Stegostoma tigrinum: one gene and its partners. The main gene of each other region encodes a partner of the protein of the gene in region 2 in a complex. Links are inferred from orthologs where the notes say so. Each region holds a gene or a part of one and is shown on either strand. Other genes may lie near its edges.

Evidence for each region.
Region 1: gemin4 (region 2) and strap share a complex: the UniProt entries of both Homo sapiens proteins name them as parts of the SMN-Sm complex. The link is inferred for Stegostoma tigrinum from reciprocal best matches to the Homo sapiens genes GEMIN4 and STRAP.
Region 3: gemin4 (region 2) and gemin2 share a complex: the UniProt entries of both Homo sapiens proteins name them as parts of the SMN-Sm complex. The link is inferred for Stegostoma tigrinum from reciprocal best matches to the Homo sapiens genes GEMIN4 and GEMIN2.

Annotation. Positions count from the first base shown.
Region 1 is NC_081378.1:42,720,687-42,728,622, reverse strand, and holds the start of strap (serine-threonine kinase receptor-associated protein), read right to left. Parts: upstream 3,052-7,936; 5' UTR 2,937-3,051; intron 2,838-2,936; exon of another isoform or gene 2,708-2,837; intron 1-2,707. UniProt on the Homo sapiens protein: The SMN complex catalyzes the assembly of small nuclear ribonucleoproteins (snRNPs), the building blocks of the spliceosome, and thereby plays an important role in the splicing of cellular pre-mRNAs.
Region 2 is NC_081380.1:34,515,265-34,523,357, reverse strand, and holds the start of gemin4 (gem-associated protein 4), read right to left. Parts: upstream 3,004-8,093; 5' UTR 2,913-3,003; intron 473-2,912; 5' UTR 386-472; coding exon 376-385; intron 1-375. UniProt on the Homo sapiens protein: The SMN complex catalyzes the assembly of small nuclear ribonucleoproteins (snRNPs), the building blocks of the spliceosome, and thereby plays an important role in the splicing of cellular pre-mRNAs.
Region 3 is NC_081363.1:55,507,833-55,515,493, reverse strand, and holds the start of gemin2 (gem-associated protein 2), read right to left. Parts: upstream 3,089-7,661; 5' UTR 3,045-3,088; coding exon 2,950-3,044; intron 2,944-2,949; exon of another isoform or gene 2,830-2,943; intron 2,824-2,829; exon of another isoform or gene 2,591-2,823; intron 143-2,590; coding exon 2-142; intron 1-1. UniProt on the Homo sapiens protein: The SMN complex catalyzes the assembly of small nuclear ribonucleoproteins (snRNPs), the building blocks of the spliceosome, and thereby plays an important role in the splicing of cellular pre-mRNAs.

The DNA of each region.
Region 1 (7,936 bases), on a different chromosome or scaffold from region 2:
TCTGGAATAAATAGGGAGAGAGGGGGAGGTGGACCAAAGATGGACAGAAAAGAAGATAGGTGGAGAGGAGAGTATAGGTGGGGAGGTAGGGAGGGGATAGGTCAGTCCAGGGAAGACGGACAGGTCAAAGAGGTGGGATGAGGGTAGTAGGTAGGAGATGGAGGTGCGGCTTGGGGTGGGAGGAAGGGATGGGTGAGAGGAAGAACAGGTTAGGGAAGCAGAGACAGGTTGGACTGGTTTTGGGATGCAGTGGGTGGAGGGGAAGAGCTGGGCTGGTTGTGTGGTGCAGGGGGCGAGGGGGCGAGGGGGCAAACTGGGCTGGTTTTGGGATGCAGTGGGGGAGGGGAGATTTTGAAGCTGGTGAAGTCCACATTGATACCATTGGGCTGCAGGGTTCCCAAGCGGAATATGAGTTGCTGTTCCTGCAACCTTCGGGTGGCATCATTGTGGCACTGCAGGAGGACCATGATGGACATATCATCTAAAGAATGGGAGGGGGAGTGGAAATCGTTTGCGACTGGGAGGTGCAGTTGTTTATTGCGAACCGAGCGGAGGTGTTTTGCAAAGCGGTCCCCAAGCCTCCGCTTGGTTTCCCCAATGTAGAGGATGCCAAACCAGGTACAATGAATGCAGTATACCACATTGGCAGATGTGCAGGTGAACCTCTGCTTAATATGGAAAGTCATCTTGGGGCGTGGGGGTGGGGGAGCAAGTGTAGCACTTCCTGCATTGCAGGGGAAGGAGCCAGGTGTGGTGGGGTTGGAGGGCAGTGTGGAGCGAACAAGGGAGTCACGGAGACAGTGGTCTCTCTGGAAAGCAGACAAGGGTGGGGATGGAAAAATGTCTTGGGTGGTGGGGTCGGATTGTAGATGGCAGAAGTGTCGGAGGATGATGCGTTGTATCCAGAGGTTGGGGGGGTGGTATGTGAGAACGAGGGGGATCCTTTTTGGGCGGTTGTGGCGTGGGCGGGGTGTGAGGGATGTGTTGCGGGAAATGTGGGAGATGCAGTCAAGGGTGTTGTAGACCACTGTGGGGGGGAAAGTTGCGGTCCTTGAAGAACTTGGACATCTGGGATGTGCGCGAGTGGAATGCCTCATCAGGGGAGCAGATGCGGCGGAGACGGAGGAATTGGGAATAGGGGATGGAACTTTTGCAGGAGGGTGGGTAGGAGGAGGTGTATTCTAAGTAGCTGTGGGATTCGGTGGGCTTGAAATGGACATCAGTTTCAAGCTGGTTGCCTGAGATAGAGACAGAGGTTCAACTCTGCTTACTGCTGTTAACCAATCCTCTATACAAACAAATAAATTACCCTTAACCCATGTGAACTCAGCTTGCATATTATTATGCTTTTACGCAACACCTTATCAAATGTCTTCTGGAAGTCTAGACATAGTACTACGAGAACAAGGAGTAGAGCTGGATGAACACAGCAGGCCAAGCAGCATCATAGGAGCAGGAAAGCTGATGTTTCAGGCCTAGACCCGCATCCAGCTCCACACCTTGTATTTCTCAGATTCTCCAGCATCTGCAGTTCCTACTATCTCAAACAATTTTAATCGCACTGCGAAGCCTCTTCTTAGGATGCCTACTCCGAAGAAGTTACCTTTCTCCCTCCGGAAAAACCTCAGTGGGGGTCTCTCCCAAAGCAAATCCTCTCCACCATCCATCTTCTAACCACCTCCCTTTCTCTCCCTACTTATTTCAGAACCCCCTTCCCCCTCCCCTTATCCACACTACTTGTTACATCTTCAAATAATTCTAGCAATTAGTCAAACATGATTTATTTTGACTTAAAATTCCTCTCATTACTTTCTTAACAACAGATTCTAAAATAAGGAGTAATTTCTCCAGCTAGACAGTGGCAAACCTGTAGAATTTTTTTGCCACAAAGTGGTTGAGGCCAAAACATTGAACATTTTAAGGACTTAGATAGTTCTTAGGCCTAAAGTGATCAAAGGACATAGGAAGAAAGCAAATAGAGTACTTTCACCTGGAAATTCTCACCATCCCCTGATGGTTTTTACATTTTTACCTGGTGTTTATTACCCAATACTTTTATTTGATCGTTTTTAACCCAGTCCTCAAATGTTATAAACCAGTTGTTTCATATCCAGTCCCTGACGTTTCATCATTTTAAGTTGGTTTTCTCCCCTCTGGAATTTTAAACCATTTACTCAGTGTTTTCAACCTGTGTTTCTTACTTGGTATTTTCACACTTTTACCAGGTCCCCTTTTAATTGGTGCTTCTTTCTTATTCCCCTGGTATTTTTACTCCTTTATTGTGGTTCTTACTTATCTCCCAGAATTTACCTGGCGTGCCTTACCCTTCCATATCTTACCAGTATTTTCCTGGTGCACGTGCCTGGTATACATCCAGTCTCCCTCCTAGAGTGGCTCACCAATTTTTTTTCTCCAGTGCATCTCAGTAATGTGCATTCCTGCTGTCTCACTTGTAAGTCTTACTGATGTGTTTTCACAATGGTGTGCCTTACCAGTATTTTCCTAGGGTGCGTTTCTAGTTCCCCTGGTGTACCTTACTGTCACAATTAACAACGGTGAGTGTTGGCAGTGTGTTATTCCAAGTAGTGTTCCCGGTCCTCTTCCCCAACCAACCCTGCCCCAAGTTATTTCTGGCGCCATATTTTACTGGTATGGTTTCCTAGTACCCCCTGGTGTGTCTTATCAGTGTCTTCCTGGTATATCTTACTGGTATATTCTCGGTATTGTTCCAGGTCCCACCAATGGAGCGTCTCAGCGTGTGTTCCTGGTCCCCTGTGTATCTTACTGTATTCCCAGGTGTTGATCACACTTTTCCCGGTGCGTCACTCCAGGTGGGCCATTCCCAGTGGTGCTTCCACCTCACCCCAAACTGTGTTTTACTACTGGGTGTCCGCCGTGCTGCTGTCGGTCTGCTATCCCCTTCCCGGCCCCCTTACCGGTCCGTTAATCCCGGTGTCGCGTGTTCCCAGTCCGGTCTGGGCTGGTTCCCTCTCCCGAACCTCCAGACTCCCCGTTAGCTGTAGCGGAAGTGACGCCAAACGCCACGCGTGGCGGCTCGTGGGAAACGCAGCGGTCGCACATGCGCAGTTTCATTGACTGGGCTCCATTCATAAATTTCGTCCAATTCCCAATGTGCAAACTATCATTCGCCTTTCGAGTAAAGGATCAGGCCATTCAGCCCATCCATATCTGTACCAACCAAGTAGAACTCCGTACAATATTCTACTAAATACCCTCAAACATTATCTTGTTTACGTTTGCCAGGCAAAAAAGAAACTTTTTTTTGATAGAATTATCATTTTTCGCTGTCTTTAAGATGACTGGCCAAACCATTTTGGGGTCTTAAGTGCCTATAAAAAAATTCTATGCCATTGTTCAAAAGTGAGAAAAGGTGTTCTCTTTATGTCAATATACTCCTGCACTCCCACCTGTGACTGTAATTACAGTCATTGAGCTGCACATCACGGAAACAGACCCGTCAGTCCAACTTGTCCATGCCAACCACATATCCGAAATAAATCTAGTTTCGTTTGCTAATATTTGCCCCATATCCCTCTAATCCCACCCTATTTTATAGCCAACCATCCAGATGCCTTTCTAATATTGTAATTGTACCAGCCTCCATCACTTTCTCTGACAGCTCATTCCATACACACACCGCCCTCTGTGTGAAAAGGTTGCCCTGTAGGTCCCTTTTGAATCTTCCCCTGCTCACCTCAAATCTATGCCCTCTAGTTTTGGACTCCTCCAATCCCTTGCCCTTCCCCTCAGGGGTCAAGGCCTTGTCTATCCACCCTGTACATGCCCCTCATGACTTTATAAACCTCTATAAGTTCGCCCCTCAGCCTCTGATGCTCCAGGGAAAATAGCCTCAGTCTATTCAGCCTCTCCCTATAGCTCAAACCCTCCAACCCTGGTAACATCCTTGTAAATCTTTTCTGAACCCTTTCAAGTTTCACAAAATCCTTCCTACAGCAGGGAGACCAGAATTGTACACAGCATTCCAGAAGTGTTCTAACCAATGTCCTGTGCAGCCGCAACATGACCTCCCAACTCCTATACTCAATGCACGAACCAATAAAGGCAAGTATACCAAACGCCTTCTTCACTATCCTGTCTACCTGTGACTCCACTTTCAAGAAACTATGAACCTGCATTCCAAGGTCTCTATTCAGCAACACTCCCCAGGACATTACTCTCAAGTGTGTAAGTCCTGCCCTGATTGCCTTTCCAAAATGCAGCACCTCACATTTATCTAAATTAAACTTCATCTGCAATTCCTCACCCATTGGACCATCTGATCAAGATCCCATTGTACTCTGAGGTAACCTTCTTTGCTGTTTACTTCACCTCCAATTTTGGTGTCATCTGAAAACTTACTAACCATACCTATGTTTTGAAAGGTGCTTCATTAACTGTGGAACACTGTCACATATATGAGGACATGCTGCAACTGGGTGTCAACCATTTACAGTCTAGGTCAAAATATACTGAGTTCAAGCTCCACTCCAAAGACTTGAGCACAGATTCTACTCTTTTAAATTAAAAGTAAAACTCACTCAACATTGTTCCCACCAAGCACCCGCAGGACATGGGGTTTGCTACTGAATAAGCCTACCTCTACTTTTCTAGACTAGAAGTAAGCAAAAATAAAGTTCACTGGACTTTTTTAAACTGACAGCAATGCCCCCATCAAACACTCCCAGGACAGGGATAGCACTGAGCAAAGCTCTCTCCACACTTTTCAAAACAGGACATCAAAATTAAAAATGAAACATTGTTGAAATAAAACACAAATTTAACAGTTGAACAGAATCTTATATAACAGATTAATATATAATATAGAATCTTACCAAACTAAATTAACGTTGTCCAGTCTGATGACGCACCCTAGCCTATGTGTTGCCCATAGGTCTCCAAAGGACTCAAATGTTCCTGTGAGCACTGCAGGCTCCATCCCCAGGGACAGCCGAGCACAGATGTAAGTGTGAAAGAGGGGCCAACAGTTGGGAACACTGCCTGAACCTGCTGATGGCCACTTTGGCCAGGCCCAGAATCAGACCCTCCAGAAGGACCTCTGACATGTCCACCCCTCCCTGCACTGGGTGGATTCCACGCTGATACTCCGGTATAATGCTTAAGGAGACGCTGTCTTTCAGATCAGAGGTGAAGTCTGCCCACTCTTATGGTTGTAATGTAACTATGGGCAATTAAATCAAGCTATAACATTCTCCCTGAACTTCTGGCCCAATTTTTCAAACATCATTACAAAAACATCATGATGTCATTGTGACAATGCTGATTCTGGAACCTCGATTGGAGCAAATTGACTGCTATAATTCCCACAAAGGAACAATGATCAATCTTTAAAAATAAATATTTGGTGATGAAATGTTTTCACATATCCTAAAGTCATTAATGCATTCCAGATAAAAAGACGTGGACATGGAAAAAGAGCTGCTTTAAAAACTATTGTTTGGAACAGTTCTGAAAAGCATGTAACCTGATGCTCACATTTGGCATCATTCACACATCTGTCTAAACAAGCAATAATTGCAAACCTGTCGTCATGGAGCCATACAGCATGGAAACAGACCATTCAGTCCAACAAGTACATGCTGACTGTAAACCCAAACTATCCTAGTCCCATCTGCCTGTGTTTGGCCCATATCTCTCCAAACATTTCTTATTCATGAACTTATCTAAAGTCTTTTAAACATTGTAACTGCACCTGCATCCATCACTTCCTTTGGAAGCTCGCTGTACACACAAACCACTCTGCTCCTCAAGTCTGTTTTAAACCATTCTCCTCTCACTTTAAAAACATGCTCGCTAATATTGAAGCCCCCACCCTAGGGAAAAGACACCTGCCTTTCACGTTATCTATACCCGTCACGATTTTATAAGCCTCTAAATGAGATCACCCCTGAATCTCTCAAGTTCCAATGAAAAAATCTCAGCCTGTCCAGGTTCCCCATATAATTCAAACCCTCCATTCCTGGCGACATCCTGGTAAATCTTTTCTGAGACCTGTCCAGTTTAATAACACATCCTTCCTATAACAGGGGGACCAGAACTGCACACAGTACTCCTAAAGAGGTCTCACCAATGTCCTGAACAACCTCCACATGACCTCCAAACTCCGATGCTTAAAGGTACAGAGGGAATGTAATAATGCAGCTCTTGCTGGCAACAAGAAGTTAATTGGTCTATGGACCAGTTGTCAATGACAGAGACATTTTTGCCTGCCAACAGCATTATGATTGCTTTACAGATAACTGAACTGCTTGGAGCTAGGACTAAGTTACAGATGGAGAGAAGTTTTCCGTTCTTCCACAGCCCAGGAGCAGTGTTCTTGTTCTCTGAAGTCAAAACTCCATATAAACCTGAAGTAAACCAGAACTGATAGCAGCCAGGTATCAGGTAAAATCAGGTAAAAGTGGTATTTACACTGAAGACAACAGAGTAGATGAGGAGGTATTGTTGGGAGGTGGTGGGGGAGAGGCGAGTGGATAGCTGAAGATGGAATCCAAAGAGAGAGAGATTTGAAAGGGCTAGGTAGGAGAGGGGGTTATTGATAATAGGCCAGGACACCAGGGAAGATGATTAAGTGGTAATGAGAGCAGAGAGTAGGTAATAATGGGTAGGCTGTGCTGAAAGCAAATCATTTCATGTGATAATAGGACTAAGAGTGGGTGAGAATGTGTTGGCTGCGCATGTCATGACAGAACCAGGATGTGGAGGTGGGTGTAAAAAATGTGGAAAGATGGAGTCAGGCTCCAAAGTTATTGAACTCCCTTGACTGCCTTGTCCACTCCACACTCCCCACTAGCTACACCACATCTGGCACTTTTCCCTGCAACCGCCGGAATTGCTACATCTCCCCCTACACCTCCCTCCTCACCCCCATCCCAGGCCCCAAGAAGACCTTCCACATCAAACAGATGTTCACCTGCACATCTGCTAACAAGGTATATTGTATCCACTGTTCCTGATGAGGTCTCCTCTACATCGGGGAAACTAAATGGAGGCTTGGAGATTGCTTTGCAGAACACCTACTCTTGGTTCGTGACAAATGATTGCACCTCCCAGTTGTGAAGCATTTCAACTCCCCCTCCCATTCCTTGGACAACATGTCCATCCTGGCCCTCCTGCAGTGCCACAACATTCCCAACCGAAGGTTGCACGAACAGCACCCCAAACTCCGCTTGGGAACCCTGTAGCCCAATGGCATTGTGGACTTCACAAGTTTCAAAATCACCCCTCCCCCTACTGCATCCCAAATCTAGCCAAACCTGTCCCCACCTCCCTAACCTGCCTGTCCTTTCTCCTACCTATCCGCTCCTCCCACCTCAATCCCTACCCTCACCTCCTAATTACCAGCGTCATCCCTGCCTCCTTGACCTGTCCAACTTCCCTGGACTGACCAAATCCAACCCTAATTCCCCACCTACACTCACCTTTACTGGCTCCTTCCTCACTTCTTTGATCGATACATTTCCTCTCCACCTATCTTTTCCTTTATACATCTTCCATCCACCTCCCCCCCGCTCCCTGTTTATTTCAGAATCCCCTACCCTTTCCACATTTCTGAAGAAGGTCCAGACCCGAAACATCAGCTTTCTTGGTCCTCTGATGCTGCTTGGCCTGCTGTATTCACCCAGCTCTACACATTATTATCTCTATTGAACACAATGTTGAGTCTCAAGAGTCTGCAAGGTATTTGGAGACAACTACATTTTCAGTCTTAGATAACAAAGTGTGAAGCTGGATGAACACAGCAGACCTCTGATGAAGGGTCTAGGCCCGAAACGTCAGCTTTTGCGCTCCTGAGATGCTGCTTGGCCTGCTGTATTCATCCAGCTCCACACTTTGTTATCTTGGATTCTCCAGCATCTGCAGTTCCCATTATCACTGATACATTTTCAGTCTTGCT
Region 2 (8,093 bases):
ATATGGTGAGGTTAGTGTGGCTACAAGTTTCTGTTCACCCTCTCTCTCTCACAATACCTTCAGGCACCATACAAAAATTAATTAACCAATGTATTTTAAAGTCAACTTGCTTTTGTAAACTAAAAGGATCCACATTCAGCAAGCTTCCTGCAGTAATCAGCCAAGGGAAGCATTTAAACTGCAAGTTTACAAACATTTGTTTCATGGGTTTACTCGAGAGTGGTGTTGCTTTCTGCACAAGAACATAATTTCACGCAAACTTTTTTCTGCAGTTTAGCAAATCTGGCACCGAAGAAGCTGCAACTCGTGCTCAAGTTATGCTGTACAGGAGCCATGACACAAATTATGGTCTTTAAAAAATGGAAAGAAACTTACCCTGCTCCATATTTACAGGTTATTTCCCCATACACTGTGCAATCTTTGATGGCTTGATCGTACAATTTAATTGGAAACTCCTCCAAACCTGTGAACTCTTAGAAAAAAATTGAACTTTTTAAACAAAGTTTTAACATCTCAATATGTAAAGAGTATCACCCCCACAAAAAATGACAGTTTTCTTGCTTATAAAACTCAGCGGCAATTGAAAGATGTAGTTGTCCTGCCTTCTAAATCATGATTGGAATGCAAAAATGGCAGCATGACTGAAATGTCAGTTCCTGAGAGTACCAAACCTATAGCGTTCCGTGACAGATCATTGTTAAACGAAGCAAATCATTTTGGTTTCACACTAACTGCAACTAGTAAAAGGTGCAATTCAAAAATGCAGATACCTGGACATAACGAAGTTGCTTTTGTCCTCACCTTCCATAGATCAGTCTCCATATTCAATTTATCATTGTACGCTATCCCAAATGTGATTCCACCACCAAAGCACCTTGCTGTACTTTCACATTCAGTATTCCAAAAGGATTGTCTTGCCTGCAACCCCAGATTCACTCTTCAAATTATCCCCAACACCTTCAGTCCTTCCACAGGCATTCTCCCAGGTAAGTGAAAGACTGTATCTGCCTTAAATAAATATAGAGAACACTGGAGAAACTCAGCAAGTCTGGCTGCATCAATGGTGAAAGACAAATACCATTTCGAGTCCAGTATGACTCTCCTTAAGAACTGCCTTTGTGCATTCCCACTCACCAAGATCCCAAACCCATTTTCCAGCTGAAAGACTGATTTGTACTTCTTTCAATTTAGTCTACAGGATTCACTGCACTTAGTGTAGTCTCTTCTTCACCAGTAAGAGCAAAAGCAGATTGGGTGACTGTCTTTCCAAATACCACGTTGTCCACACAACCCCAAAATTCTGGCTACCTGCCATTTTAATTCACCAACATAGTTTCAATTGTCTGCGGTTTTCTGCAGTTGTCCAGAGAAGCTGAAGGCCAGTATCTTTTCTTCCAAGTGCTTTACAGTCTTCCATACTCAACATCGAGTTTAACCACTTCAGATCATATATGTTTTCCCACTATTAGGGAGGTGGTGGCCTAGTAGTATGGTCGCTTGATTGTTAATCCAGAGACTCAGACAACATTCTGGGATTGAAGATCCACCACAACAGATATTGGAAATTAGTTCAATAAAAATATCTGGAATTAAGAATCTAATGATGACCATGAATCCATTGTCAATTGTCAGGAAAAGCCCATCTGGTTCACTAATGCCCTTTAGGAAAGGAAACTGCCATCCTTACCTGATCTGGCCTACATGTGACTCCGGACCCACAGAAATGTGGCTGACTCTGAGCAATTAAGGATGGGCAACAAATGCTCATAGCCAGCGGTGCCCTCATCCCGTTAATGAATACAAAATAACTGTTTCAGACTGCAGTTATGGACAATAATCCTGCTATTCCCATTTATACTTCCTCTAGACAAGCTTTTCATTTCTTCACTCTTATCCCTGTCTCTGTACTCAAATGAAAACCCATTACGTCTCTGGTTGTTTTTGTTTTTGGCAAAATGTCATCAACCTGAAACATTACATCTGTTCCTCTGTCCGCAGGTGCTGGAGTACCCGCTGAGAATCCCCGACACTTTCCCATTATTTTATCCCAAATATGGAGAGCTTGGTAATAATTGCACCTTGAAGTGAGACTCTAATTAAATAAAAACAGTGTATGCTGGAGTGGGTTTGTCAACATCTGTGGCGATAGAAATAGAGTTAACACATTTGAATCCAATGACTTTGAGATAACAAGGGGTAGAGCTGGATGAAGACAGCAGGCCAGGCAGCATCAGAGGAGCAGGAAAGCTGACATTTTGGGCCTGGACCCTTCTTCAGATGCTGCCTGGCTTGTTGTGTTCATCCAGTTCTATACCTTGTTACCTCAGATTCTCCAGCATCGGCAGCTCCCACTATCTCTGAATCCAATGACTCCTCTTCTTTCAGATCTCTAACAGCCACCGTATTTTGTTTGAGACTATAACTAGTGGACAAATCAAACGTCAGACACCACAACCAACAGATAACAATATTATTGCAGCAAATTTGGCCTTTTGAACGTTTAAGTACAGCAACTGCTCCAAAAGATTTCGAAAACACACACATTTCCTATTATATTGAAGTCACTGTGTGGCTGTTTCGTGCTTTCTTCACACCATGCTAATGCAACTTAAGTAAAATCATACATTTTAATTGCATCAAAACCACAAGCAAGCAAATTTAACGTTTTGATGAGATCAAATTTCCTCCTGAAGGCTATTTAACCAAGATAAAAAGAACAGGGGCGGTGTACGTTTGTGATTAAGTTGCAGGAAGGCCTGAGGCCCTTAATGAGATGTACAGCTTCCAGGAGTATCTTCGGTTTCCCCGCCGCCGCCGCCACCACCATCATCATCATCATCATCATCATCATCCCTATCCTCTACCCTCCAAACCCATACAGCAAGAAGACCTCCTCCCTTCTTCCAACTCACTCATTCATTCAGTGCCTCCATCACTCAGTCGCTCTCCATCATACAACAGGCAACCTCGCCAAAGCAGACGCGTTCCCAGGGACACGAAAAGAAAGCCAGGCGCCGCCGCTGCCGCCCCCTAGGCAGGATGAGTAACTGCGCCGCATTGCATATGGCCTCTGCTGAGAAGCATGCACATTGCTGAGCGACAGAGTATGTTTCTAAGGGTGTGGAACAGCACCTCTGAGCGGGTTGGTATAGAATCTTTTTGATGATGGAAGTTGCTAACATTTTTTTGAAACAGTTCTTTGTGTCGCTGAGCTGGCAGGTGCAAGTTCACGTCCCAGCTCCAGAGGTGTGTAATAACAGGAACAAAAGCAAAGTTGCTGGAAAAGCTCAGCTGGTCTGGCAGCATCTGTGGAGGAGAAAACAGAGTTAATGTTTCGGATGACAAAGTGTGAAGCTGGATGAACACAGCAGGCCAAGCAGCATCTCAGGAGCACAAAAGCTGACGTTTCCAGCCTAGACCCTTCATCAGAGGGGGATGGGGAGAGGGTTCTGGAATAAATAGGGAGAGAGGGGGAGGCAGACCGAAGATGGAGAGAAAAGAAGATAGGTGGGGAGGGGATAGGTCAGTCCAGGGAAGACGGACAGGTCAAGGAGGTGGAATGAGGTGGTAGGTAGGAAATGGAGGTGTGGCTCGAGGTGGGAGGAAGGGATGGGGTGAGAGGAAGAACAGATTAGGGAAGCAGAGACAGGCTGGGCTGGTTTTGGGATGCAGTGGGTGGAGGGGACGAGCTGGGCTGGTTTTGTGATGCAGTGGGGGAAGGGGAGATTTTGAAGCTTGTGAAGTCCACATTGATACCATTGGGCTGCAGGGTTCCCAAGCGGAATATGAGTTGCTGTTCCTGCAACCTTCGGGTGGCATCATTGTGGCACTGCAGGAGGCCCATGATGGACATGTCGTCTGAGGAATGGGAGGGGGAGTTGAAATGGTTTGCAACTGGGAGGTGCAGTTGTTTGTTGCGAACCGAGTGGAGGTGTTCTGCAAAGTGGTCCCCAAGCCTCCGCTTGGTTTCCCCAATGTAGAGGAAGCCACACCGGGTGCAATGGATACAATATACCACATTGGCAGATGTGCAGGTGAACATCTGCTTGATGTGGAAGGTCATCTTGGGGCCTGGGATGGGGGTGAGGGAGGAGGTGTGGGAGCAAGTGTGCACTTCCTGTGGTTGCAGGGGAAGGTGCCGGGTGTGGTGGGGTTGGAGGGGAGTGTGGAGCGGACAAGGGAGTCGCGGAGAGAGTGGTCTCTCCGGAAGGCAGACAAGGGTGGGGATGGAAAAATAGCTTGTGTGGTGGGGTCGGATTGTAGATGGCAGAAGTGTCGGAGGATGATATGTTGTATCCGGAGGTTGGTGGGGGGTCCGGTGACCCTTCCTCAGAACTAATAACAATTAATATCAGTGTAATAACATCTCTGAACAGATTGATTAGAAAATATCAACATTATTCTCTTGGTAATGCAAGTTGCAAACAATTTGTATTTTAAGGGTTATGTGGCACAGTGGTAGTACCCCTGCCTCTGAGCCAGGAGTCCGAGGTTCAAGTCCTGTCTGTTCCAGAGGTGTTTGAACAGGTTGTTTGAAAAGATCTGTCCTCACAACAGAAGAGATATGCCTGGAGAAATTCAGCAGGTACGGCACTCCTGTGGAGAGAGAAATAGAGTTAACATTTTATGTGCTGTCTTCAGAACTGTATTCATTTCAGATTTTCAACATCTGCAGTGTTTTGCTTTTATTACATGAAATGTGCAGCAAGATTCTAACAACATCTGACTGAAAATAACCATGTATAGGATTTGGGTGTGGATGACTGTACCAGCACTTAATGCCCATCCCTAATTGCCCTGAAAACAAGTGGCTTGCTAAACCATTTCAGCGGGCAGTTAGGAATGAAACCTTTGCTCTGGATCTGAAATCACACCTCGGCCAAACCAGGTAAAGTAGTGGATTTCCTTCCATAAAGGGCATTAGTAAGATGTATCCTGTGGATAACCCTGAGGTGTTTTTATTGTACTTTAAAGGTGCTGTGTAGATGTAAGTTTTTTGTGTCAAAATTGACTTTTTCATTATTAAATATATACTTATTATTATACAGGTTTTCTTACGTCAAGTTCAAGATGGCTGATAAAATAAAACAGAGAGGAAAAGAGATTCTGACCTCGAGCCACTCCCCTGTCTCCAGGTGGCCCCTCCCACTAAGGGGCCTACTAAGTGAGCCAGTCTTAACAACACCCACCTTTCTCGCAGCATCACTCCTTGAAGCTGGGACTCAGGTGTGCCAGCAGTAGGCACAAACTTCTGTGGTGCGACTGAATGTTGGAACTGCCGGCTAGATGACTACAGGCAGGATGCCATGTTCCAGGGTTCTCAGTCAGGAGGAACACCTGCTCATGTCCTCTTATGTGCCGAATGGCTTGAAGTTCCTTCTAAGAGTAACTGCCTCTCCCCCAAAGTGAGAGAATGAGAATGTGAGCTAAGAGAGGGAGACAAAAGCGAAACTTAAAATTTATGACAAAAAAAATAAGCTTTAGGAACAATTTACAACCAACTGGACTGAGAGTCCACAGCTTAAATTCTTTCTATTTCCAGACTGGAGAGGTTAGGTTTCATGTCAGACCTATAATCTCAGCACTAACAGTATCCTTATGTCATTAATTACAAGACCTCAGTGAGATTTATTCTTACTCACAGTACAAGTCCAGCAGTTTCTTGATTCTCACAGAGGGACTGATCTCAAGCTTTGTTTTATGAGAATAAATAGCTGAATTGTGCAAAGCATCCAGCAATTTATGACAATTCACATCTTGTGGCATAGCCCTTCTGACATCATGAATTGTCAGCTTATAGCAACATAGAAGATAGGAGCAGAGCGAGGCCATTCGGCCCTTCGAGCCTGCTCCGCCATTCTGCACAATCATGGATGATGGCCCAACTCAGTAGCCTAATCCTGCTTTCTCCCCATAACCTTTAATCCCATTTGCCCCAAGTGCTAAATCTAGCCACCTCTTGAAAACTTCCAATGTTTTGGCATCAACTACTTCCTGTGGTAATGAATTCCACAGGCTCACCATACTTTGGGTGAAGAAATATCTTCTCAATTCCATCCTGAATTGTCTACCCCAAATCCTCATATTGTGAGCCCTGGTTCTGGATATACCCACCACTGAGAGCATCCTCCCTGCATCTCCCTATCTAGCCATGTTAGAATTTTATAAGTCTCTGTGAAATTTCCCCCTCATTTGTCTGAACTCCAACAAAAACAGTCCCAATCTAGTCCATCTCTCCTCTTATGTCAGATCTGTCAGCCCTGGAATCAGCCTGGTAAACATTCGCTGCACTCCCTGAAGAGTGAGAGCATCCTTCCTTAGAAAAGGAGACCAAAACTGCACACAATATTCTAGGTGTGGCCTCACCAAGGCTTTGTATAACTGCAACTCCTGGACTTGAAACCTCTCACAATGAAGGCCAACATCCCATTTGCCTTCTTTACCACCTGCATGCTTACCTTCAGCGATTGGTGCACAAGGACACCCAGGTCCCACTGCACACTTCCCTCCCAATTTATAGTCATTCTGGTAATAATCTGCCTTCTTGTTTTTGCTTCTGAAATGAATAACCTCACATTTATCCAAATTATACTGCATCTGCCATTGATTTGCACACTCACCCAACCTGTCGAGATCATGTTGAAGGATCTCTGCATCCTTGTCACAGTTCACCCTCCCACCCCACTTGGAATCATTTGCAAACTTGCAGATGTTACATTTTGTTCCCTCATCCAAATCATTAATATACATTGTGAATAGCTGGGGTCCCAGCACCAATCCTTGAGGCACCCCACTGGTTACTGTTTGCCAATTTCAAAAGGACCCATTAAACCCTAGTAGAGATAATAGGAACTGCAGATGCTGGAGAATCCGAGATAACAAGGTGTAGGGTCTAGGCCCGAAATGTCAGCTTTCCTGCTCCTAAGATGTTGCTTGGCCTTCTGTGTTCATCCAGCTCTACACCTTGTTATCATTAATTCCTATTGTTTGTTTCCTCTTTGCCACTCAGTTTTCAATCCATCTGAATACACTTCCCCCAATCCTATGTACTTTAATCTTGCACATTAATTTTTTTATGTGGGACTTTGACAAATGCTTTCTGAAAGTCCAAAAATAGTACAAGGACTGGCTTCCCCCTTGACAACTCTACTAGTTGCATCTTCATAGAATTCCAACAGATTTGTCAAGCATGATTTCCTCTTTATAAATGCATGCTGACTCTGTCTGATCCTGCCACTGCTTTCTAAATGCTTTACTATGAAGTCCTTGATAATGGATTTGAGAATTTTACCCCCCTACCATATACATTAATATTATGTATACATTAATATTGGCAACCGCGGTAAGGTCGTAATTAATAATAAAGACACCATAAACTCTTAGTTGGTTTGGTTAGACTACAATTAGAGCAGTGTATACAGTTATGGTCACCAAACTCTAGGAAGGATGAGGGTCCAAGTTTCGCTGCTGGTGCAGTGAAAATTTGCCAGGATGGTTCCCAGGATGATGAATTTTGGTTGTAGGGTTGGTTCAGGGCAGTGGAGTTGTTTCCTTGGTGCAGGAGAGGTTAGATACATATGCACAAGTTTGTGACAGTTGTATTAGAGAGGGCAAATAAATACAAACTATTCCCATTTGCTGATGGCCCAAGTGTTAGAGTCATAGATAAAGTCATAAAGATGTACAGCATAGAAACAAATCTTGCAGCCCATCTCATTCACACCAACCCAGATATCCTAATTTAAATATAGTCCAATTTTCAAGCATTTGGCCCATATCCCTCTAAACTCTTCTTATTCATATGCCCATCCAGATGACTTTTAAATGTTATACCTGACTCCACTACTTCCTCTAGCAACTCATTCCATACACACACCACCTTCTGCGTGAAAACATTGCCCCATAGGTCCCTTTTAATTCTTTCCCCTCTCAGCTTAAACCTATGCCCTCTAGTTTTGGACTCCCTCACCCCAGGGAAAAAAGACATTATTCTATTTACCTTATCCATGCCCTTTATGATTTTATAAACTTCTAGAAGGTCACCCTTCAGCCTCCGACCCTCCAGGGAAAATAGCCCCAGTCTATTCAGCCTC
Region 3 (7,661 bases), on a different chromosome or scaffold from region 2:
CTGAACTCTTTTCAAGTATTCCTGGGGTGTTCTGGGTGGCACACTAGGATCAAAGTCTTCAATGGTATCCCAGTCATCCACAGGCAATTGCCTGGGCATCAAATCTTCCTCAAAATTCATTCCTGTCACGCTTTTCTCCACACTATTTTAAAAAAGTTAGACTTATATCTAATTTGCCAGGGACAAAATTCACTATCTATGAAAATGAAACAGCAAGAGTTCAGAACTGAAAGACAATGATGCATCATCACTCCCTGCAGATATATTTTAAGAAAACAGTTGTTTCTGACCATCTTAAATTTTTAGATCAGTTTGCATTTGAAAAGTGTACTGTTGTAAAATACACATTACAGTCAGTGATTATGATATCTGAATAATCAGGTACTTAACTCTCTTTATTTCATTATTAGAGACTTTGCACATGTTTGGATGAGTATCCATTTAAAGCATTATTCTGGTTTGGTGCCTGATTTATGGCCAAACCTACTGAAGGTACCTCTACTATTTCGCAGGCAGAAATGGATCCAAAATGTCAAACAAAAACTGATTTAAAAGCAATTAGTAGTATTTTGATTTGAGAATGAAATTCTTAAAGTGTTGTTTGTATCAGTGATTCAAACAGAAATTAACACACCAAAACAATAATTGTAAGTCACACTGGATGCTGTCCTTCCTCTAGAAGAAAGATGAAGGTAGGCCTGTTGTGTGTTGGATGGAGTTAAACTCCAAGTTTTGGATATTCCCCTCATTTTCCTTGTCAGTCCTCTAAAAGGACTATTTTCTCCAGGATACCTTGGTCCACTCCTCCTCCAGTCCCAAAACCTCCCACAGCATCTTGCCCTGCGACTACAGAAGGTGGAATACCTGCCTGTTTAGTTCCTTCCTCCTCACTATCCAAGGACCCAAATGCCTTCCAGGTGAAGCAGCATTTACCTGCACTTCACACAATCCAGTCTACTGTAGTCACTGCTCACAATCTCCTCTACATTGGAGAAATGAAGTAGACTGCAATGCAGAATTCCCACGTTTTGTCTGCAAGACAAAGACCCTTAGGTTCCAGTTGCCTGCCATTTCAATATACAGCCTTGTTCCCTGGCCAACATCTGTCTAAGGCTTGTTGATCTCAGCGCAAGCTAGAAGAACAGCACCTCACTTTCTGCTTAGGAACTCTACAGCCTTCTTGACTCAATATCGAGTTCAACAATTTTAGGGCTTCATGCACCTTCTCCCATGACCTTACCCTAATCCACACACACCAGGCCTTATTATCACATGCTCTGCTATTACACACAACCCATTGTTACCCACTACTAGACCCCATTAGCAGCTATTCATTCTCCTAGGCTGACCAGCATCCACTCCTTTGTCAGTCCAACTCTTCTTCTCTCCCTCTATGGGCTGTATCTCTACATGTTGTAGAATTGCTAGAGTGCGGATGAGGGCCATTTCACACATCAGGTCCATCTGACCTTCTGAAGAGACCCTACCCAGACCCATCCCTTTACCCTATCCTTGTAACCCTGCATTTCCCATGTCTAAGATAATAAAATGTGAGGCTGGATGAACACAGCAGGCCAAGCAGCATCTCAGGAGCACAAAAGCTGACGTTTCGGGCCTGGACCCTTCATCAGAGCTGAAGGGTCCAGGCCCGAAACGTCAGCTTTTGTGCTCCTGAGATGCTGCTTGGCCTGCTGTGTTCATCCAGCCTCACATTTTATTATCTTGGAATCTCCAGCATCTGCAGTTCCCATTATCTCTGATACCATTTCCCATGTCTAATTCACCTAACCTGCACATCCCTGGACACTATGGACAATTTGGCAAGGTCAATCCACCTAACCGGCATACCTTTAGCCTGTGGCAGGAAACCAGAACACCCAGAGGAAACTCACACAGACACAAGGAGAATGTGCAAACTCCAAACAGTCACCCACGGCTGGAATTGAAACCGGGTTCCTGGCGCTGTGAGGCACCAGTGTTCACTACTGAGCCACTGTACTGCCTACTGTTTATTCCTTATCCTCTCTCCCACCACATTTTCTGCATAAAAACAAACATTTTCCTAGCTATTATCAGTTCTGAAGAAGGGTCACTGGATCCAAAACATTAACTCTGATTTCTCTCCACAGGTGCTGCCAGACATGCTGAAATTTTCCAACAATTTGTTTTTGTTTCAAAATTTTGGATGCTATGTTCCAATTTGTTGCTGCAGTGGCCTAACTAAATCAATTCAATAAGAAAACAAGAAAATGCTGGAGATACTCAAGAGGTCTGGTAGCATCTGTGCAGAGAGAAAAAGTTAATGTTCCAAGAATTTTTTCATAACTGGTTTTATTTCAGATTTCCATCATCTGCACTATTTTGCTTTAATTTTCAGTTGAAATTATTTTTAAAAGGTGCATCAAGACAAGCTGTGATAAGTTACTTTGCAAACACAAAGGTGACAGCCTAGACATCAGTGAAACTGAAAAGCAAACTTAAAGCAGTTCATCAGATCTCAAAATGGAAAAACTAAATGACAGACAATCGTAAAGGCTATTTTCAGCAAAGAACATGGAACATAATATTTGCAAAAATATTTATAACTCACTGCAGTTAAATAATTAAGGCTCATTTCCAGAACTGGCATATTTTATGTCATACTACTGATGCAGCCGGATTTCAGATATATTTCCCATTGCAGGGAATGGAAATACAGGCTTAGGGCAAGGCACGGCTAAACCACATATGAAGAATAATATGTACTTTCTGCTAGTCACAGTGATCGTGTTGGAAGGTCAGCATTAGGCCAGAACCCTCTCTCCCCTCCCTCAAACTGCCCATACTCACCAACCTCAGGGTCATGACCTCCTAATATCACATGGCCACTGGTAGCCAATCACCACCTTCCCCTTGCCCTGTGCCGCCCTGTCCAGATTTTTAACAGCTCCCCTCCATCAAATACTCCACCTAGAGGTAGAAGCGTCAATCCACTTCATGTTAAACCGTCGCTGTACCAGTTTTGTGTAACCGGTGTGTACGATATTAACCAGAACGTACAGCATTGCATGCTGTCCCCTGCGCAATGACGGAGGACGGTAAAGGGACAGTAATGCGACTGCGCAATGATGGAAGGCGGTAAAGGGACGGTTATGCGCCTGCGCTTAAACGGCGGACGGTAAAGTGACGGTAAAGCGACTGCGCGGTGACGGTATGCTGAAGTGGAATTTCGATGGGCAACGTTGGAAATGTTGACTACTCCTTTCTTTCAGATACTGCCTGACTTGGCGTGTTCTTCCAGCTTCCTGTTTGTCTACCTTAGGATTCCAACATCTGCAGTTTTTTTTTGTTTCTACGTAAAGTGATGTTACTGAGGGTTTTTGTTCTGTAGAAATGATGATACAGAAACGTTCGTATTGTGAAAGTAGGAGATTATACTCTTGTTAATGATGGGCTATAATTTTATCCACATGCACTGTATTATGTAGCTATCGTCGATGCACTGCGTTTTGGTGGAGAAATAACTTTTTTTGTAATTTCGTTATTGAGTTCAGCTTACTCCAGTTCATTGAGACTGCCTACGGGTAGTCTATGCTATTGTTCCTGTTTTGACTCTCCTGGTGCTGGAAGTAAAACATAATATGTCCTCGCTCAAAGTTGTGTTTCTTTAAAAAAATCATAAATTAAATTTGTGAAGTGAATTATAGAGTCCCATTGGAATCAATGCTGATTTTATTATATTATTGACACATGTACCAAGATGCAGTGAAAAGTATTGTTTTGCATGCTAACCAGACAAATCACACCTCACAGAAATATGTCAGAGTAATAGCAGAATGCGGAATATAATGTTACAGCTACAGAGAAGCTCAGAGAAAGATCATCTCTAATATATGAGAAATCCATTCATAAGTCTGACTACTGCAGAGAAGAAGCTGTCTTAAGTTTGTGTCTTCAACTCTTGTGTCTTCTACCTGATGGAAGAGGTAGAAGATAGAATAAATGATTTTTATGGCTGCTTTCCAGAGGGAGTGAGAAGTCTAGACGGTGTCAGTGGAAGGAAGGCTGGCTTTCATGATGGACTAAGCTGCATTCATGACTCTGTAATCTCTTGCAGTCTTGGGTAGAGCAGTTGCCATACCAAGCTGTGATGCATCTGGATAGGATGCTTTCTATGGCCCACCTATAAAAATTGGTAAGAAGCATTGTGGACGCTGAATTTCCTTAACCTTCTGAGGAAGTACAGGCATTAGTGTGCTTTGTTGACTGTAGCATCAACATGGATGGACCAGGATTGATCATTGGTGACATTTACTCCTTGGAACTTGAAACTCTCCACCACCTCCACCTCAGCACCATTGATACAGACAGGGGTGTGTCCTCCACTCTGCTTCCTGAAGTCAATGATCAGCTCCTTCTTTTGCAGACATTGAGGGAAAGACTTTTGTTTTCACATCATGCCACTAAGCTGTCTATTTTTCTACTTTACTCTGTCTCATCATTGTTACATCTAAAGTTATTTTCCTTAAAGCATTCTTGTCTTGGGAAAAATAATGCACAAGGTGAAACATTGTTCCCAGCTGAAATAATGTGCAAACTAAAATATATCAATCAATATACAAAATAAGTACAATGCCCAATAACCTCTGGACAAATTAAAACAAAAAATCAGTATCTCCTTCCACTGCTGTGAACAGGAAGTCAATACCTCACACGTCATTGGTAAGTGCTTAGAATTAGAAGTAGAATCCCATGTAAATGAATAGTGCTGCCTGAGGAACCCCTGCCACTCATTCCATTTGGTGCTGTGCTTGGCACCTTGCTCTCTACTACATCACTTGCTCCCACACTAGTTGCCCTACTGTTGACTCTGCTGCCTCCCTTCTGCTTGCTGCACTGCTCCCTCCATTCATAGGAAGGTGGCATTGAGCAAAACATGATCCTAGGATTTTAATTGATTTAGGACATTTGAAAATCACTCATTTTCTCAGTCCTATTATTAGAGACAGAAAATTGTTTGTGGTGTCTCTGGCAGAGACTGTGTGGGCTGTGTCTGCCGTTTGTGGTTCCAGTGGCAGTATAGGCATCTTTATAAAAAACTCGCATAGTTTTAGATTGACCAGCTGCTGCTTCAGAGCTTGAGACCGCATAATATCGGCTTGCTTGTTTCGAATTTTAATTTGGGAAGCTTTGCCATAGGTGAACAATCTGTAAGGAGTAAGAACTGCAAATAAAAACGTTAATCGAAATAGCTTCATTTCTATCAACTCTCTAAATCACTTGGTGGTGATTCTACTAGGGCAATCTCATTTGTTTCTTTATAATCTAGAGGTATATGTTGAAACTAAAATACATTAATTTCACTTTAGCATTGAACAATCAATCAGAATTGTCAAAAAGCATTCTTTGGAATTATATTCTTGCTTGTTGTCACATTTCTGATTCACATGTAGTGTTACTGTCTTAATTCCCTTTCCTATTATGAAAAATCTCATTCCCAGATGATTAGTCACCCTATTTCCAGCGATATATTTCCCTGTACACTACTTATTTCAGAAGGATGTAACTGACCCAAGCAATTGAGCAATAATGTTCTTAGTCTTTTTACAAAATTCAAGAGATCTTAAATATTTTACTGCATTTTTGTCAAAGGCTGACAAATTATTATGCATACCATACACCAACCCATGTCCTTGTATGATTAAAAGTCATTATTATAGTGAAGAAAGATCTTTGCAAACATTTAAGCATGTGAAAATGCTAGTATTAAAATAACATTGGGTAGGTTAAGCCTGCCCCTGGGACTGTGAGAGCAACCTACTTCAACTCCTGGGAGTGGCAAAAAAATAATTCAAGACCATTGGAATGGAAAGATCTGGAAGTTATTCTTATTATTGTATACAATAAAACTAGTCCAGAACGCTAGATTGATCATGTGTTTTTACTTAACAATTCACCTAGCTCTCTAAAACATGATTTGGGCCTTGCTGCAATATCACAGGACAGGGAGACTCTCAGAAGACTTGGGCTGTCAAGTCAGGTGACACTTGTGATTTCATACAAGAAGACATCCAGGGCATTTATTGCCTGTGGTCAATAAGGCAATTATTACTCAAGGCCATCCAAGTACATCCACACACCCACCAACAACACTACCTCATCGATCCCCTCCTCGGTCTCTGTCTTCTGCCACATTGTGTGCTCTCTTACAATGTGAGAAGGCAGAGAGGTATAACTGTTTGAGTAGTAAGGGTGGAAGGAGAGTAAGAATAATTGTGAGACACTGGTGTGAAAAGACAATTGGTCGTGGAGAATTTGAGGTGTGGGCTGCTCAGATGTAGTATGCCTTTGGAGAGAGGAATGTATGGCTCTGTGTTGTGTGTTTTCCTGAAGAGTATTGAGCAGAAGAAATCTAGGCAAGTCAGAGCACAGGTGTTATCTGAAAATGTTTGTACCATTTACCTGCCATGCCTTCCTGTGGACCTGAATTCCCTTAATACATTTTGTCCAAGGTAGAGAAACTACATCTGCCACGGACTACCTCAATCATTTCCAGGTGGAGAGATTTAGCACTTCCTCCAGTTCTTGGAAGAGATTTTCTCAGTGCAGCCCCTCATCTCAATCAGTAGACGTTCAAGTTTAGAGTCAGAGACTCATGGAGCAACCTTCCCATGTCCCTTGTTCATTTCTGTGTTTCTGAAGACTCAAAAATGCAAATCTTAGTGAGATTTTCTCACTCGTACTGTGGTCCCTTTAATTAGAAAACCTTTAACAAAATGGATATGCAAACATTCCACTCTCCCCAATGGGTGGGGAACCCAGAAGTAGATATTAATACTGCAGGTCTGGATAAAGTCCAGCAATTAATGAATTACATTGTCAACCTACAAATAGTGTCACTTTCTATCAGGGACTAAATGTAGAAAATTCTTAATAAAAAATTGAAAGAACTGTGGATACTGTAGATCAGGAACAAAAACAAAGTTTCTGGAAAAACTCAGCAGGTCTGGCAGCATCTGTGAAGGAAGATACAGAGTTAACGTTTTGGGTCTGGTGACCCTTCCTCGGAACTGGTTTTGTTGTTGTTGTTTCTGGTGTTGAAAATTCTTCCCTATATAATTTCTTACTTTTCAACTGGTTTGTATGCATTCAAATTAAATGAGCAAAAAGAGTAAAGAGGCTAAATTGGATAGCCCCTGAAGTGCACAGGAATTATTATGTGTGATTGAGCACAAGTTAATCAACATAATGCAGACAAGTTGCCAAGTTTCTGCTGCCAAGTCTTTGAATGGTTGCTGCTTGTAATCAATGTATCACTAGGGGCCCCAGATTCATAATTTGCCAGCACCAAATAAAGCTAGTCTGTACCTCTTAAAGGGAAAATGCATTGTGATTGGAGTAGATATTAGCCATCATGCCGGAAATAGGTCTGACTGGGCACCTAAAAGTGAAGGCACTATGTGGAAGAAAGTGGCTCCACGGTTTTTGGAATCTGAACTGGACTCATTGCTGAGGTGATTTTTCTTTATAAAATTTGTTCAGAATTTTTCTTTTGTGGTCAGTTTTCTCTTTGTACTTTTGCAAGCAGAGAATGAAATGGTCAGTGACAGAGTCAGTAAGATGTGGACCTGTTGATGATTGGGGAATTGGGTAGTAATTATTAGTGTCGCACTTGGGCAGCA